Tamandua tetradactyla: one gene and its partner. The protein of the gene in region 2 interacts with the protein of the main gene of each other region in a pairwise test. Links are inferred from orthologs where the notes say so. Each region holds a gene or a part of one and is shown on either strand. Other genes may lie near its edges.

What was found.
Region 1: the proteins of FLII (region 2) and LRRFIP1 interact in binary tests that used the Homo sapiens proteins (3 or more experiments, as listed by UniProt). The link is inferred for Tamandua tetradactyla from reciprocal best matches to the Homo sapiens genes FLII and LRRFIP1.

Annotation. Positions count from the first base shown.
Region 1 is NC_135329.1:215,514,367-215,522,473, reverse strand, and holds the start of LRRFIP1 (leucine-rich repeat flightless-interacting protein 1), read left to right. Parts: upstream 1-4,975; coding exon 4,976-5,071; intron 5,072-8,107.
Region 2 is NC_135332.1:1,890,463-1,897,790, forward strand, and holds the start of FLII (protein flightless-1 homolog), read right to left. Parts: upstream 3,139-7,328; 5' UTR 3,096-3,138; coding exon 3,033-3,095; intron 1,540-3,032; coding exon 1,429-1,539; intron 1,125-1,428; coding exon 1,053-1,124; intron 29-1,052; coding exon 1-28. Other genes in the region: MIEF2 (mitochondrial dynamics protein MID49), read left to right, coding at 3,535-3,579, 5,859-6,011, 6,140-6,314, 6,808-7,328. UniProt on the Homo sapiens protein: Is a regulator of actin polymerization, required for proper myofibril organization and regulation of the length of sarcomeric thin filaments. It also plays a role in the assembly of cardiomyocyte cell adhesion complexes.

The DNA of each region.
Region 1 (8,107 bases), on a different chromosome or scaffold from region 2:
CTTGTTCATTTTTACTGCTGAGTGGTGTCTCTGTAACTACAATTTGTTTATTCCTTCACCTGCTGGTGAACATCTGGGTTGTTTGGTGCTTTTGGCTTTTATGAATCAAACTGTCACAAGCATTCTTGTCCATCTCTTTTTTCTGTGATCTCTTTTTTGGGGGCGTGGGGGCAGGCACCGGGAAATGCATCCAGGTCTTGGGCATGGCAGGCGAGAATTCTGTCACTGAGCCACCATTGCACTGCCCTGTGCATCTCTTTTTAAGGACATGTTTTCATTTCTCTTGGCAAATACCAGAGTGGAATGCCTGGAGCATACATTAGATGCATGTTTATAAGAAACTCCCAGACAGTGTTCCAAACCAGCTGCACAGTTTTAAACTCCCACCAGCGATGTATGAGAATTCCACTTGGTGAGAATGTCAGCCTAACCAACATGTGGGTCTGCCAGTCTTTTTAATTTTAGACTTTCTAATGGGTGTGAAGTGACATCTTACTGTGGTTTTATTTTATTTTATTTTTTAAAATATATTTATTAATTAAAAAATTAAGAAACAAAATAAAACATCAACATACATAATCAGTAATTCACAATATCATCACTTAGTTGCATATTCATCATTTCTTAGAACATTTGCATTAATTCAGAAAAAGAAATAAAAGGACAATAGAAAAAGAAATAAAACAAACAGAAAGAAAGAAAAAAAAAGATTATACCTACCATACCCCTTCCCCCTTGCTTTCATTGATCACTAGCATTTCAAACTAAATTTATTTTAGCATTTGTTCCCCCTATTATTTATTTTTATTCCATATGTTCTACTCCTTTGTTGACAAGGTAGATAAAAGGAGCATCAGACACAAGGTTTTCACAATCACACAGTCACATTGTGACAGCTGTATCATTATTCAATCATCCTCAAGAAACATGGCTACTGGAACACAGCTCTACATTTTCAGGCAGTTTCCTCCAGCCTCTCCACTACGTTTTGAATAACAAGATGATATCTACTTATTGCATAAGAATAACCTCCAGGACAACCTCTCGCCTCTGTTTGGAATCTCTCAGCCATTGACACTTTGTCTCATTTCACTCTCTTCCCTTTTGGTCCAGAAGGTTTTCTCAATCCCTTGATGTTAAGTCTCAGCTCATTCTAGGGTTTTTCTCAATTCCTTGATGCTGAGTCTCAGCTCATTCCAGGATCTCTGTCTCACGTTGCCAGGAAGGTCCACACCCCTGGGAGTCATGTCCCACGTAGAGAGGGGGAGGGTGTTGAGACTGCTCATTGTGTTGGCTAGAGAGAGAGGTGTGGTTTTATTTTGCATATCCTGATGATAAAAATGTTGAGCACTTTTTCATGTGCTTTTTGGACATTTTTGTCTATCTTCTTATATGAAGAGTATGTTTAAGTTTTTAAGTTTTTGCTCATTACTTAAGTAGTCTGTTTTTTTTTTTTATTGCTTTTTGGGAGCTCTTTATATATTCCGGATACAAGTGCTTTGTCACATCTATGCATTATGGATATTTCCTCCCAGTTTGTGTCTTGTGTTTGCATTTTCATAATGGAGGTTTTCTTTTAACATTTTTTCAATTGTAAAATATAACATATATATACAGAAAAGGATTGTATATTGGACATAGTGTGCAATATCTTGCAGAGACTCAGGATTCTGTTATTTTCTTTTGAAGTGTATTAAATTTGGTTCTAGCAGGTAGTCAAATGACCTTGACCTTACATATCACCTTGATCATGTTGAAACTTGATTATGGACTTTGTTACGGTGCATCTATTCTGTTTTTTTCTGTTATTCCGAGGTCTTACCCTGATATCCTGGAAAGTGGTCTTACTACTAAGGCATAGCCCTTCTGGGGTTTCAGTGAAAAATGCAAGGTGTTTACCAAGTCCCTCTAATTTGGAAGCACTTGAAACTCCTAACTTCTTCCCAGCACTGGGAAGCTGCAGAAATTTCTTCTCAACTTTTTTCAGGGATTCCAGCTGCTGCTTCTTTCTGAGTTGCTTGGAGTCTTGCCCCCCCCCCCCCCCCCCCCATAGCTGAGGCTCAGGACGCTGCCATGGTTTCAAGATAAGTCAGCATACAGTTCAACCGCTATGGGTCCTCCTCTTCTGGGATTTTCCCCACTGATTTCCAGCTTTACTGATAGCCCCAAACCCTGAGGTCTGATTGCTCAGTTCAATGGTGGTATCACAAAAATGCAGAATGGGGGCAGAAATGAAGGAAAAGGGAAAATTTGGCATGTGATCGGATTTAGGGTAGAACGGAGCAAGATGGATCCAAGATGATTCCAAAGCCTGTGCTAGCTGGATAACAGGGACTGGGGAAAGCAAGGCTGGAGCACCAGTGAACTAGGTTTGGGTTGGGGCCACATGATGGCTTCCTCAGGGGACCCACTTGAATGACCTTTGGCGTACCCTCTGCCCAGCGGGCAGACTAAATGACCCCTCTGTGATGTACGGTGACTGCTCTCCCCAGCCAGCCAGGAGGAATGAGCTCCTCAACAAAGGGACCATTGTTTCAGGGCGGAGACTCCATGTGGGTACCACTGGGGTGTGAGGTGCCCCCTTACCAAGGCTGCCTTGGCTACCTCCACTTTCTGGTGAACTCCTTCCTCAAATTAGCCCCTGTATTTCTGTGACAGGGCTTGGTACCAAGCTTGGAGATGAGCATATGGATTCTCCGATCCTGGGCCATGACAGCTGTGATGTGTTTTCTCTGTCACCTGGGCTGAAATCCCTCATGTAGGTAGTATAATTGTTTGGGATTTGGTAAGGGGTGGAATAGGAGAAGAGCTCCATGGAAGGGGTTGAGGCAGTGCTGGTAGCTCAGTTACGTGGGGGTATAGTCTTCTAGGTCAGTGCAGACTCATGGACTTCCGAGCTTTAGAGGCTGAGGGCCCAAGGAGGAGAGACAGCAAAGCTTCCCTGTGAGCCCAAGGCTTGGCCTGCTGGGTGGTGTCTCAATGGTCTCTATCTCCCTCCAGAGCATCCCAAGCACTGGGGGCCCACAAAGCTGCTTAATGCCCCTTGCCCACCTCTCCCAGTGCCCTAGCAGGAGCTGCTGCCTCCCTCCTCCATACATTCCAGACTGAAGCCTTTGCAGGCCGGAACCAGGGGACCGACTGTGGGCTGAGCCCTGCAACAGGTTCCTTGCCTGGGCTGCTCAATCTTGACAAGGCAGATGTCAGGATTTTCACTGAAAGGCGAGAACTAGCCTGGTCTGAGATCACATCAGAGCAGGGAGATGTACATGGCCCATAGACAAAGAACTCACGATGTCATGGCCCATTTGGTGCCAGGAGCCCAGGGGAGCCAGCCTGAGCAAAGCCACAGAATCATCGCAGCTGCACCTTGAGTGTGGGAATGGTGAGCAGGGCTGGGGACAGGGGAAGGGATGACCCCTCAAGGTTTCTTCCAGTACGGATTATGTGACCAGAGGATTACCGGACCCTATGCTGGGTGAAGGGGGCATAGATCCAAACAACAGCTATCTCTCAGGGCCTCCGAGGTACCAGGTGTACTGCCACGCTCTGAGAAGACAGGACTGACAAGCTTAGGGCCCCAAGCACTGTGTGCCCTGCCAGTCCCCCCACCCCACCCCAGGAGTCCCTCAGGTGTCGTGAGCTCCCTGCTACTGCAGGGCCCCCTGTGGTCCCTCCTTCACCCAGCTGCCAGGTTACCTTCACAACCACCCAAGCCAACCTGGTCCCATCACTTGGTTGGAAATACTCCAAAAACATTAACTGTCCTTTCCTCTGGGCGGGAGGGGGGGGGGAGTTACAGGTGACTCCCTACTCCCCCTCCTCTCCACCCTCCCCTCCCTCCATTCCTCCCAAAGTCCAGCGGCCTTAGAGCTCCCCCCACACCCGGAACACATGGGAACCGATGCCGACTGAGCTTGTGTAGGGTCCTTTCTTCCCATCCCATCCTGAGGGCCAAGTACTCGACTTCTACCTATTACACTGGACAAGAAGGCAAGGGCTTTGTACGCCTTACCTAATTCTCCAATTTATTTTTAAGTCCACCTGTGGGGATGAAGAACAGAAGCTTCAGAGAGCTTTTTCAACAAGTATTCACTGCCAGCAGCTGTGTGACAGGCCCATTCCTAAGAGTGCAGGGACAGGACCCTGCTTTCGGGGGTGCAGACCCTGGGGAGGGGCGCCGCGATCCTTCTGCACAGGGATAAGCAGGCCCCGGAGGAGGCTGGCCACGGTCCCGCAGCCCCGCAGCGGCGCCATCGGACCGCACCTGGGCCTGACCGCAGAGCCGGGTTCCCTCCCGTGGCGCGGAACTCACCGGCCCTGCGCCGCCCCTCCGCACAACCCCTCCGTGCAACCCCCGGCCTGAGAGCCTTCCCGCGCCCCGCGGAGGTCGCAGCTGCACCGACGCCCACGGCCCTGGCGCCAGTCGCTGCGCCTTCCCCCGCCGGCCTGAGATTCTCCGGGGGCCGCCACCGATCTCCAGGACCCCTACCCCGGCCCCTCTGCTCCCTCGGCGTTCCCCGCCGACCCTGATCCCCGCTGTCCCCGCCGCCGTCCTCCCGGCCCGTCCCTCGCTGTCGCCGAGCCCAGCCTGTTCGTCCCCTACCCCGCGGTTCTCCCGGGCGCCTCGACATCTCCCGGGTCCTGAGCCTCCTGACCCCCGCGACCCCTTGTCCTCCGCGGCCCTCGCGCCCGGCCGCTCGCGCCCAGCGCCCAGCTCTCCCGGTCGTCCCCGTCCCCGCCCTCGCGCCCGACCGCTAGCACAAGGACGCCCTAGGTCCCACTGCGTCCCCGGATCCGTTAGGTTCCCCGGCCTCCCCGCGTCCCCGTCCCCGTCCCCGCGCCCCCGCGCCCGGCCCGCTCGTCCCCGCGCCCGCTGACGCCATGACGCCGCGGCGGAGGGAGGGGCGCGGGCGAGGCCGGAGGGGCCGGCGCGCGGGGCGCGGGGCGCGGGGCGCGGGAGGCGGCGGCGCGGCCGATGGACATGGGCACGCAGGGCTCGGGGCGCAGGCGGCCCCCCACGCGCGAGCGGCTGACGGCGGAGGACGACGCGCTGAGCCGGGTCGCGCGCGAGGTGAGTTCCGGGCCCTTGGGCGGGGGCGGGGGCGGGGGCGTCCCTCGGCTGGGCGGCCCCGCACGCGGAGCCCGGGTCACGACCTCGGCGGCCGCGGGGAACAGGCCGGCCACGCGGCCCCCGGCTCGGAGCCCGGCCCCGGGGCAGCCGGGTTGGGAACGCTGCGGGCGGGCAGGGCGGCCCGGGCTCGGCCGGGTGGGGACGAGCGCGCCGCTGTGTGGAACCGCAGGGGGGGCGGCCGGGGGCCTAAGCAGGGATGGGGGCCGGTCTCCCGAGGCCCGAGGCCCGCATGGTCCTGCCCAAGGCGCTGTCTGGCGTCTGTCGTCGCCGGGAGGCTGGGTGCCGCCTGGGGTGCACTTGGGGGTCACTGTGGAGCCTGTTTCTGCCCTGAGCTTGCGAGCGGGTCGGGCGCACCAGAGGCCGTCGTCAGGTTCTTGGGCTGAGAGATCACATTCGGCCATGAACTTGGTCAGGACCACTTAGCCGGGCATGGTGGTCACAGGTCTGCAGGAGTCGCTTTCTCGTCCCCGTGGGTTCAACGTTAAGGGTAAACTATGTAAGAAACAGCCCAGCTCATAGTACATGTCTGTAGATATCTGTTGTATTAATAAGCAAAAAAAGTACAAAGCTAAATATAAATATTTGCTGAATGCAGCACCTTAAATATCATGCGCTCCTGTGAAGACATCGTTTATGAGTAAGGCGGTAAGAGCACACGAGTGTTTCTGGGGGACCCCGGCCGGGGGTAGTTCGAATGACCACTGGGCTGTGTTCTCCAGGTCAGTGTTTAAGGGAGAGGAATGAGAAGAATGAGAGTTCCCAGGCTCCCCCTTCTTATCGGCTGGTTTTGATAAAAATAGATTGAAACTAAAGGCCCGGGAATTCACCCTGGCTTGATGGGCACTTGTGGTCCTGCCTGACCGGGAACTCACTGTCTTACCTCCCACCTAGGGACACAGGGTTTGGCGAGATAGAGTAGACTTTGGAGTCCGACCTGACCTGGGTTTTGAAACTGCACAGATCCCCACCAGCCGTGTGGGTCTCAGGAAGGACCTCCTCTGAACTTGTGTTTTCCTGTTCTCTGAGAAGGAAAAAGAACCCCCCGTGGCTGTCAAAATGGAAGGCAAGTTGCGTCTGGAAAGTGCATAATTAGGTGCTGGGTCACTCTGTGATCTCCTGCACACACCCTCAGATAGGAATCAGCCGTGGGCTCCTAGTGATTTATTTATAAGGTTGGAGGTAGCTGGTGCAACATTTTGTGTTCTGCTGCAAATTGATTTCTGTATCCCAGCTGTGGTATTTAGAATCACCTGGCCAGTATCTAGTCGTCCTCGAGTTCCTGAGAGTTCTTATACAAATTAACAAGGTTTTCCTAGATAAATTTAATGCTTCTTTACTCACTCATAGCACGATGTTTAAATCACTGTCATAGGGAGACTGGGGGGTCAGGACTGAATCCCACATGGACCTGGCCTCGAGGAGCTGTGCTGGGAGGGAGTAATGGCCGATAGATAAATAACAACAGAAAACTAGAAAGGATCTGGTTTGAAAAGGACCAGAATGCACTGCTGTGAGATTCGGAAATGAGTGCATTTCATCTTGCTTTTGGGACCAGGAGTGGTGATCAGAGGCGGCTTCCTGGAGGAAGTGGCATTTTGAGCTGTTTGAAGGATGTATCAGGATGCTTTGATGCCAGTGACGGGGACAGTCACGTGGCAGCTCTGGCTCCTTTTCTCCCGGCACCCCTGCAAGGTCCCCCTACAGGTGGCTGTCCTTGCACTGGCTTGTGCCACACCGGCCTGCGTGGCGGCACCCCCAGGCCTCCCTCCTGCCCACACCCTGGCTGTCTGCGGGCCTCCTGCCCATTCTTGAGCCAGGCTCAGTGGCGGGCAGTTGACTTGAGGCCCCACTGGGCCCTGGGCAAGGGGTATGGCTGGATGCAGTAGCCCATCAGGCCCATTCCTGGAGCCCGTGGAAAGCGTGGGGTCCTGCGTGGAAACAGGACCCCTTAGGGAGGAGGAGGAGGTGCCGGGCAGTCCTGACAGGCATTGAGGAATGTGCAATCTGGAAGGTGAGCGGGGTCAGCAGGACGTCAGAGTCTCAGGGAAGGCTCCATCCCCCAGTGAGGGGGAGTGCGGGACACGGCTGCCGCTGGGAGGCCTCATGGGGACTGGACAGATTGTGGGGTCCTCATGGGGACTGGAAGGTTGGGGGGTCCTCATGGGGAATGGACAGGTTGGGGGGCCCTCGTGGCGAGCTCAGCGCTCTCTGCTGAGGGGTTGGACCTTCCTGGTAGGAAGCAGTGAAGGGGGAGCGTCTGAAGTGTCGCCTTTACCTCCTGGAGTTACGCTGTGGTCTCTGCCGTGGGTGACTTCCCTGAGAACCGGGTGTTATTTCTCGGTGCCATTGGTCTGGGCGTGAGCAGGCTGGGGGTCCGCCCTGTCAGGGTGGCTTTGGGAAGCAGAGGGGGCTGCTGTCCCACGGACCCGGACTGCGCCTGGCATATCCTGGGCAGAGGGGTTCTCAAAGCAGCTGTTTTTTTTCCCATCACGTTTAACTTCCTGCTGGCAATTTTTGGTGGCAACCCAGATTTCTATTTAGCCTCCTTCCCCGGAGGAAAACGAAATTGCTCTCCCGATGCCTGGAGCAGCTCTCAGTATTTCTCTCCGATGCAGACATCATTCCTGAATGAGAAAGGTGCTGTGAAAGCTCCTGGGGAGCAGTCTGCAGACCTTGGGAAGTTGCCGTGAGTTTGGCACTCGGCGGGGCCCCGACATGCTTGGGGCACCCCTCTTCTCCAAGACGGCGCCCCAAGGCGCTCACCCCGCCCAGGGCTCCCAGCCACCCCTTCCTTTGAGGCGCTGCGGCCACACAGAAGCCACCTTCCCGGGCAGGGGCACCTGTGACCTCCCACCTCTGCCCACCCGGGCTGCCTTGACCGGTGACTGAGCAGTCTGGGGGAACTGAAAGCCCTGCACCGTGCTCCAGCACTCCGGGGGTCAGGCCTGGGCAGGTGGCCTCATGCCCTCGGCCACC
Region 2 (7,328 bases):
TCAGGCTGTTGGCTCGAGCCACGATGGCCTGGGGAAGAACCGTGAGGGCCTGTGAGTCTCAGCCTCCACCCCCAAGGCTGGAGAGGGACACTTCCTTCAGGAAGGCTGCCTGAGTGCTGTCACACCTCTGGACCTCTTCCGCCTGGCAGGCTCTTACTCATACCTCAAAGCCCAGCTCAAATGTACCTCACAGCCCAGCACAGGGCCCTCAGGGAACCTTTTCTAGATCTGAGTCAAGGTTTCTAGAATGGAGCGACCAAAGAGAAATCAGTGTGTGGACTGAGAGGAAGACAGCAGAGCTGCAGTCTGCTTTCTGACCCCCTGGGTGGAACTTCCACATACCGCAGACCTACAGGAAGTTCGTGGGGGTGGAGGAGGTTGTCCCATGATTGTAAGAAGCAGTGGTAAGAATGATAATAGCCACTAAGGCTTACTCAGTGCCATTCCACCCTACTTGCACTTGGGGCCCAGGAAGCTGAAGTGACTTGTCTAAGGTCATGCAGCCGGAAAATGGCAGAGTTCACATTTGAACTTGGGCAGCCTTGGCCCAGAGGCTGTGCCCTAAACCTCTCAGGTCACTGGCTGTGGACCTGATCCTCGTTGTCCAGGGGCTCCCCTCTGACCCTCCCACCCCAACTAAGCTCACCCTACCAGCCCCACCACTGCCAGGTGTGACCTGACCTCTGAGCTTAAGTTTCTCCCCTCCCAAAATAGGTGGAAACCAGGGTTAAATGATTTACTACTACTGCGTTGTTACAACCCAAAGTGGGTAATCAGGACTTCTTTTCTTCTTTTCCACTCTGGCCTTCTCCAACTCACACGCCTCACCTTACACAAGCATTATTATGTCTTCCCTTCTTTATGCCTCGGCCCCTGATTCTCATATGGGGGTAGACAGAAATGCTGGCCCGGCCGGGGATCTGGCCTTGCCCTTCCTCTCCGGGCAGGATACCAGCGCCTGCCCCTAGGCCCCTCCCATGTCTGGCACCCCTCCATGCTCGTCAATACCTCACCCCTGTGCCTGGAGGCCTCCCCCTCCCCCCAGCACTCACCCGAAGTGATGGCAGGCTGGACAGCTCTCCATGAAGTGTGGTCAGGTTGTTGTGGCTCACAGACAAGTGCTCCTGGGGCAGGAAGGGAGACGGGCTCAGCAGGCTGGATGGGGTCCACACATGTCCTGCCCACCACTGCAGCCTTGTACCCCATGGGGGGAGGGGCCTCGGCCACGCAGGCCCAGTCTATCTCTGCCTTCTCCTCACTCACAGGCCTGACCTCTTCTTGCACACCTCCCATGACAGGGTGCTTACTCCCTCTCAGCCACCTCTGACCACGACTGTCAGAGTGTTCCTCCTGTGCTGGCCACCCTTTCCACCCAGCCCAGGCTCATTCACAGGGACACCCTCCTGCTCCCCGCCTGAAGCCCCTTACCAGCTTCTGCAGAGCGGCCAGCTCCTCTGGGAGGTAGCAGAGACCCGTGCGGTTCAGCTTCAGCCATCGCAAGCTGGTCATGGACTTGACATTCTCAGGGAAGTAGCCACCCTGTGTAGCCACGGAGTGCCATGGTAGGCATGTCTGGAGAAGGGAGGCACCCCCTCCCGGTACCCCCACTCCACCACCCACCCATCTGGGTGACCCTGGACGAGTCACTTCATCAATTTCCTTACCCATGACATGGGGCTAATAAAAGCCCTCACATGACAAGTGTTGTGAGGATGGACTAACTGTAGGTGTGGTTGGTGGCCTGAGATCTATTTGTCCCACTGGACTCTGAGCCCGGGGAGGACCCGGACAGGACAGTACCTGGCTGAGGTACGTTCCAGATTTGCACTTTGTCTCGCAGCACAGCCCACCCCCTCACACCCCCACCAGGTCCTGACCCCACTGTGCTGAGGCCTCGGCTTGCCACCCCCATGGACTCCCAGTATTCGAATGCCCCAGGTGCACATGGGCAGATGGGGGCTGGGGGGTTCGGGTCTGCAGTGACAGCCCCTCCCTGCTTGGGGGAGGAGGTCTGGGACAAAGAGTGCTCTCCGTGCCCCTGGCTGGTGTCCCCTTTCCCCTATGGCCATCTTCCCAGTCTGTAATGCAGCCTCTCCTAGTGCAGAGAGGACACCTGGAGACCCCGTGGGGATGGGGGACAGGGTGACATGCAGTCAGCCCACGCCTGGGCATGGGAGTCAAAGGTGTGGTGGTTTGCTGGGAGATGCAGGAGGAGCGAGCCCCAGGCTGACGCCCAACCCCAGGCAGAGCGGGGGAGGGGTGGGGGGCCCTCAGACCCCCACCTAACAGCCCCAGGCCCATACCTGCCCCGCACACTGCAGCCACACATCCCCCCACCAGGCCAGCTCTCAGCTGCGGCCCTTCTCTGGAGTCACAGCCCAGCCCACCCCATTCCCGATTCTCTCCAGGACAACCTCCTCTTGCCCTCCAACTGGGCAGCGCCAGGTAGGGGGCAGGGGTGGGGAGGGGGCCGGTAAGAGAGGCAGACCCACACCACCGGGGCTCACACCGGCCTGCACACCCTCCAAGCAACTTATCACGCCCTCCGGACACTCCCAGGAAGGGCTGCAGGGAGACCCTCCTCCCGGAGAGCAAGCCCGGGTCTCCGAGGAGGAAGTGTCTGGCCCAACACCGCACAGGATGTGGCCAGGGGTGGCGGCGGGGCGGGGCAGCGCGGGCGTGAGTCAGGGCCTGGCTGGGCGGTGCGGCCTCCGAGGGGCACGACTGGGGCTGGGGCGGCGTGAACAGGGGCCCGCCGGCCGGCCCAGGGTCGCCCCCGCCGAGAGGCCCCTCTTCTCGCAGCCCGGCCTGAGAGCCGTCCTCCCGCCCGGGCAGCGCGCCGGGCCTCGGGGCCGCGGACTCCGGCTCGGGGCAGGGCGCGGGGACGGTCCCGGAGCGCCCGGAGGGCCACACCCCGGCCCGGCCGGCGATCGCGGCCGCGCGCAGGGCCCCGCGGGCGGCCGAGGAGCGGGGGGCGGCTGGGCCCGCGGCGGAGGAGGCGCAGCGCCCGCGAGCAGGCCCGGCCGGCTCACCTTGAAGTCGTTGCCGCTGAGGTCCACGCCGCGCACGAACGGCAGCACCCCGGTGGCCTCCATGGCGCCGCTGTCGCCGGCGGCCGGGCAGGGCGCGCAGGGCGGATCCGGGAGGCGGCCGCGGGCTGGGCCTCCGCCGCCGGCTCCGCCCCTTTAACCCGCCCGCGCCCGCCGCACCCGCGCCCCGGACCGCCCTGCCGCGGGAACGCGCCTGCCCGCGGGGATCGCCGGGTCTCGGGGCGGGGAGGGCCTTGGCTTCGGCTCCTCTGACGGCGGCAGGGTTCAGCGTCGGCTCCGAGAACCCCGCGGCGGGACCCGGGGATGTTGCTGCAGTCGTCCGACTGGGTTTGAGGGGTTCGGGGGCCCGTTCCCGAGGCGCCCCTGCCTGCCCCAGGGCTTGGCCCGGGCCACCCTATACCTGCGGCCGCATCTGTGAAACGCTTCCTAAGGCCAGACGCACCCCCACCTCCACGTGGAACTCCCAGCATACAGCAGGCGCCCAATGGTGCACGTGTTTGCTATCCCTGCTGGGCATGAGCTCCCCCAGGTGTGTTCCCGCGATCTCCCGCCTCGTGGCCCCCCGAATGCAGCTCCCACAGGGGCGGGGTCCGGGCGCAGTCCAGCGACCCCAGAGCAGGCCGGGCATTTCCCAGCTGCTGCTGTTTTCAGCCACGCCGTGCGGGGCCCTGCTTTACAGAAGGGAAAACTGAGGCCTGTGGAGCATGGACACACCCCCTCACCCCAGGTCACCAGGTGGGCCAGCAGGTAATCCTGAAATGCCCTCAGGTTTCTGGCAGGTGACCTCAGGGCGCCCGGCAAGTGGTCCCGGGAGAAACGTGGGCCCAGAGAGCTTTCTTCACCCCCAGGCTCACTATCCCAGGGCACCCAAGTCACAACGGGCCCTGGGGGCCGCTCATTCCACGCGCCGGGACAGGCCTCCCAGCCTCCACTTCCCAGCCCGCCGCGGGCTCGAAATGGAGTCCTCGGCCTTTAAGTCGAGAGGAAGTCGCGCCGGGCGGGGGGCGTGGCCAGGTGCCCATTGGCTGAGCTGCGCAGTATTTTGGCACGTGGGCGGGGCGCTGTGCGCTCTCGTTGGAGCTCGGCTTCCTCGTCTGCGTGCCTCTGGGGGTCACCGCCCGCCTCCTCCGACCCCGGCCCCGGCGCGCGCCTCCCGGCTCTGCCGCGTTCCATTCCCAGGTGGGCCGGGCGGGGCCCGCTTCGCGCTGGGGCCCGTTCGCGGGGCCGCGACCTGGGTACGGCGGGGCGGGGGCAGCGCCTCGGGGCCCGCCGCCCGCGCTCGAATCCCGTGTTGGGCAAGCCCCTCGGTCTCCGGGACGCGGGTTCCTCGCGTGGGGGCGGGCCGGGCGGAGGAGGGAGGGGTCACGCCTGCCCCCCGCGCCGGCTCCTGGGGCTGGGGCCCGGGCCGGGGCCGGGGCCTGCTCGGCCGCCGGCGCTGGGCGGGCGCCTGCGTAGCCAGGAGGGAGGTGTTCAAATCGGTGTACAGTTCGCGAAGTGGAGGCGGGTGAACCCCCGGTGGACAAACCGGCCGCCCGGCGGACTGGTCAGCCGGCTGGCCGGTGTCCTCGCGCGGCCCCTGAGACCTCTTGTTCTATTTTTAGCCTGGGCGGGTGGGTAGGTGCTTGGGAATGAGTCACTCCCTGGCCCGGGCTTCGGCGGGCACCTGGCAGGCCGGGAGGGCTGCGTCCCCAGGGCCCCAGCCGGCCGTGACTTCATGACGCGGGCTTCGGCCTCCCGGACTGGACAGTCCTGCCTGGTGTGTGTTTGTCCCTCCTGCAGGCCCGGGGCCCCACGCTGGCCCTGTAGCCGCCCCTCTCCCTCAGCAGGTGGGCTTGGTGGGCAGAGCCTGAGGCCGGGTCTCCCTTAGAATGTGGGGCTGGGTCAGGGCCCTGCCTCTTCTCACCTGCCTGAGCCTGCCCAGAAGACACCTGCGGACTCCCTCCTTCTGATCCTTTCTGTCCACCACCTTTGGCTGTTTTGCAGGGGAGGAAGTGGGTGGCGCTGCTGACCCTGACCTTAACTTCTGGGGTGCGTGGCCTCCTAGCAGCTGATGACAGCTGTCCCTCTGTCCCCAAGCCACTGGGCAGTCTCACGTCTGAGCTCTAAAAAGCTTCCTTGCTCACTGCCCCTGCACGTAGCAGGACTTGCGCGTGCCCTCTGCTGCCTGGAGCCAAGGCCGGCCCCCTCTGCCTGTCCTGGGGGTGCCCTGTCAGCATTCAGGGCTGGGAGTGTGGCCCCTGAGTCTTGCTGAGGTCCCCTTAACTCCTCCCCACCTGTCTACACTGGGAGTCTACCCAGCCCTGGTTGGAAACCAGAGCTCTAGGGCTGCGGCAGGCTCTGAGCTGGGCTCGTGGGTCAGAGAGGACCAAGTAGACTCAGGGGCCAGCAGGAAACACTGGGGTGCCACACGCTGTATGTTTGCGGGTTTGTGCCCCCACTGCTCACTGTGTGATCAGGGAAAAGCTGGTGGTGACTCCGACTCACTCCTCTGGGGAGGAGCCAGTCTGCATGAATCCCCCTTTTCCTGCAGGCAGTGGTGTGCAGGTTTGGGGGAGCAGGGCCTTGGGCAGCACCCTGATCTCCCAAGAAACCATACACGTAGCCCTTTTCTCCTGGGAAGCTGTCATGGGCTTGACTAAGTGCCCCAGCAGGATGGCTGCAGGAGCCCTCTGCCCATCCCTGCCTGCCCTGGGCCACCCCCTGGCAGTCCTAGCTTCTCCACTGGGGCTGCCCACATGCACGCATGCACACATACACAGATGTGCACACACATGTGCATGCACACACGCACACCTGGTTCTCTCCCAGCAGACCATGGCTGAATTCTCCCAGAAGCGGGGGAAGCGGCCCGACGGTGACATCTTCGGCACTGCTGTGGACTTCCTCCTGGCCAATGCCCGCCTGGTGCTGGGCATGGGTGGGGCTGCAGTACTGGGCATCGCCACCCTGGCTGTAAAGCGGGTAAGGCTGTACTGGGTAGGTCCCAGCAGGGGGCCGGTGGGGTGCATTTCAGTCCCCCAGTAGCTCGGTGTGTCCCACCTGGAGCTGTGCCTGGACCCCGGCGACCCGACCTGTGTCTCTGCCTCCAGCTCATTGACAGGGCCACCAGCCCACGGGATGAGGATGACGCCAAGTTGGAACCCACTTGCCTGGAGGATAGCTGGAAGGAGCTGAACCTGCTCAGGGCCACGCCGCGCCTGCACCCCCAGCTGCCTCCTGTCCCCCTCAGCCGGCCCCTCCTGTCCCCAGCCCCTGCTGCTGCAGGTGAGCCACAGCCCTTCTCCCAGGATGCAGGGGTTCCCTTTGGGGTTCTCCTGGAGTCAGTCCAGGCTCTGCTGCTGGTGGTGTGACCCGGGCAGGTTCCAGGCACTCGGGGTGGGTGGTGCTCTCCCCGAATGGTTAGTGAACAGTGGGATTCACTGTCCTCCCACCAACCATGACGTGTCTGTGTTGGGTGGGGTGTGGCGAGGCAGCAGAGTGCTCATGGCAGGGACGTGGGAATTGGGGGTGGGAGCTTCCAGTGCGGAACACCAGGCCCAAAGGGGCGCCTGTCCAGAGCGGTGGGGGCAGCGTTCCCCAGTTCCGTGTAGTAACTGCAGGGTGAGGGTGTGGGGGTCACCAGGCAGCCGTGGTTTGGGAGAACTGGGGCCACGGGCTCCCTGGGCTGGGCCTGCCGTGGGCCTATCTGCTGTCATGCCACTGGGAGTCGGGCAGAGTACTGCAGCTCGTGCGTTCTCACCTTCTCCCGACCTCGCAGAGGCGCCCAGTGACACCCATCCTGCAGACACTGGTGCTCGCCCGACCCCGTGGCTCGGCAGCCCTGTTCCGCTGTGCCTAACCTTCCAGGAGAAGCTGCTGGCCTTCGAGCGGGACCATGTGGCCGTCCCCGCTGCCACCGAGGCGTTAGCCAAACAGTTGGCCAGAGACATTGGCTTGGAGCTGCAGACCTACCTGCGGGCTAAGTTCCCAATGCTACCCTTCGGGGCCCTGGAGCCGGGCGGGCCGCTCTATGACGGGCTGCAGGTGGGGGTGGCTGACCCCGTGCGCCTCCTGGCCCCCCTGGTGCTGGAGCCAGGCCTGTGGGGCCTGGTACCGGGTACGGACACCGTGGCCGGAGACCCCCGCTGCTGGGCCGTGCGCAGGACACAGCTGGAGTTTCGCCCCCGTGGGAGCAGCCCCTGGGACCGCTTCCTGGTGGGCGGCTACCTGTCCCCCCGGGAGCTGCTGGAGCTGCTCCGCAAGGCGCTGGCTGCATCTGTCAACTGGCCGGCCATCGGG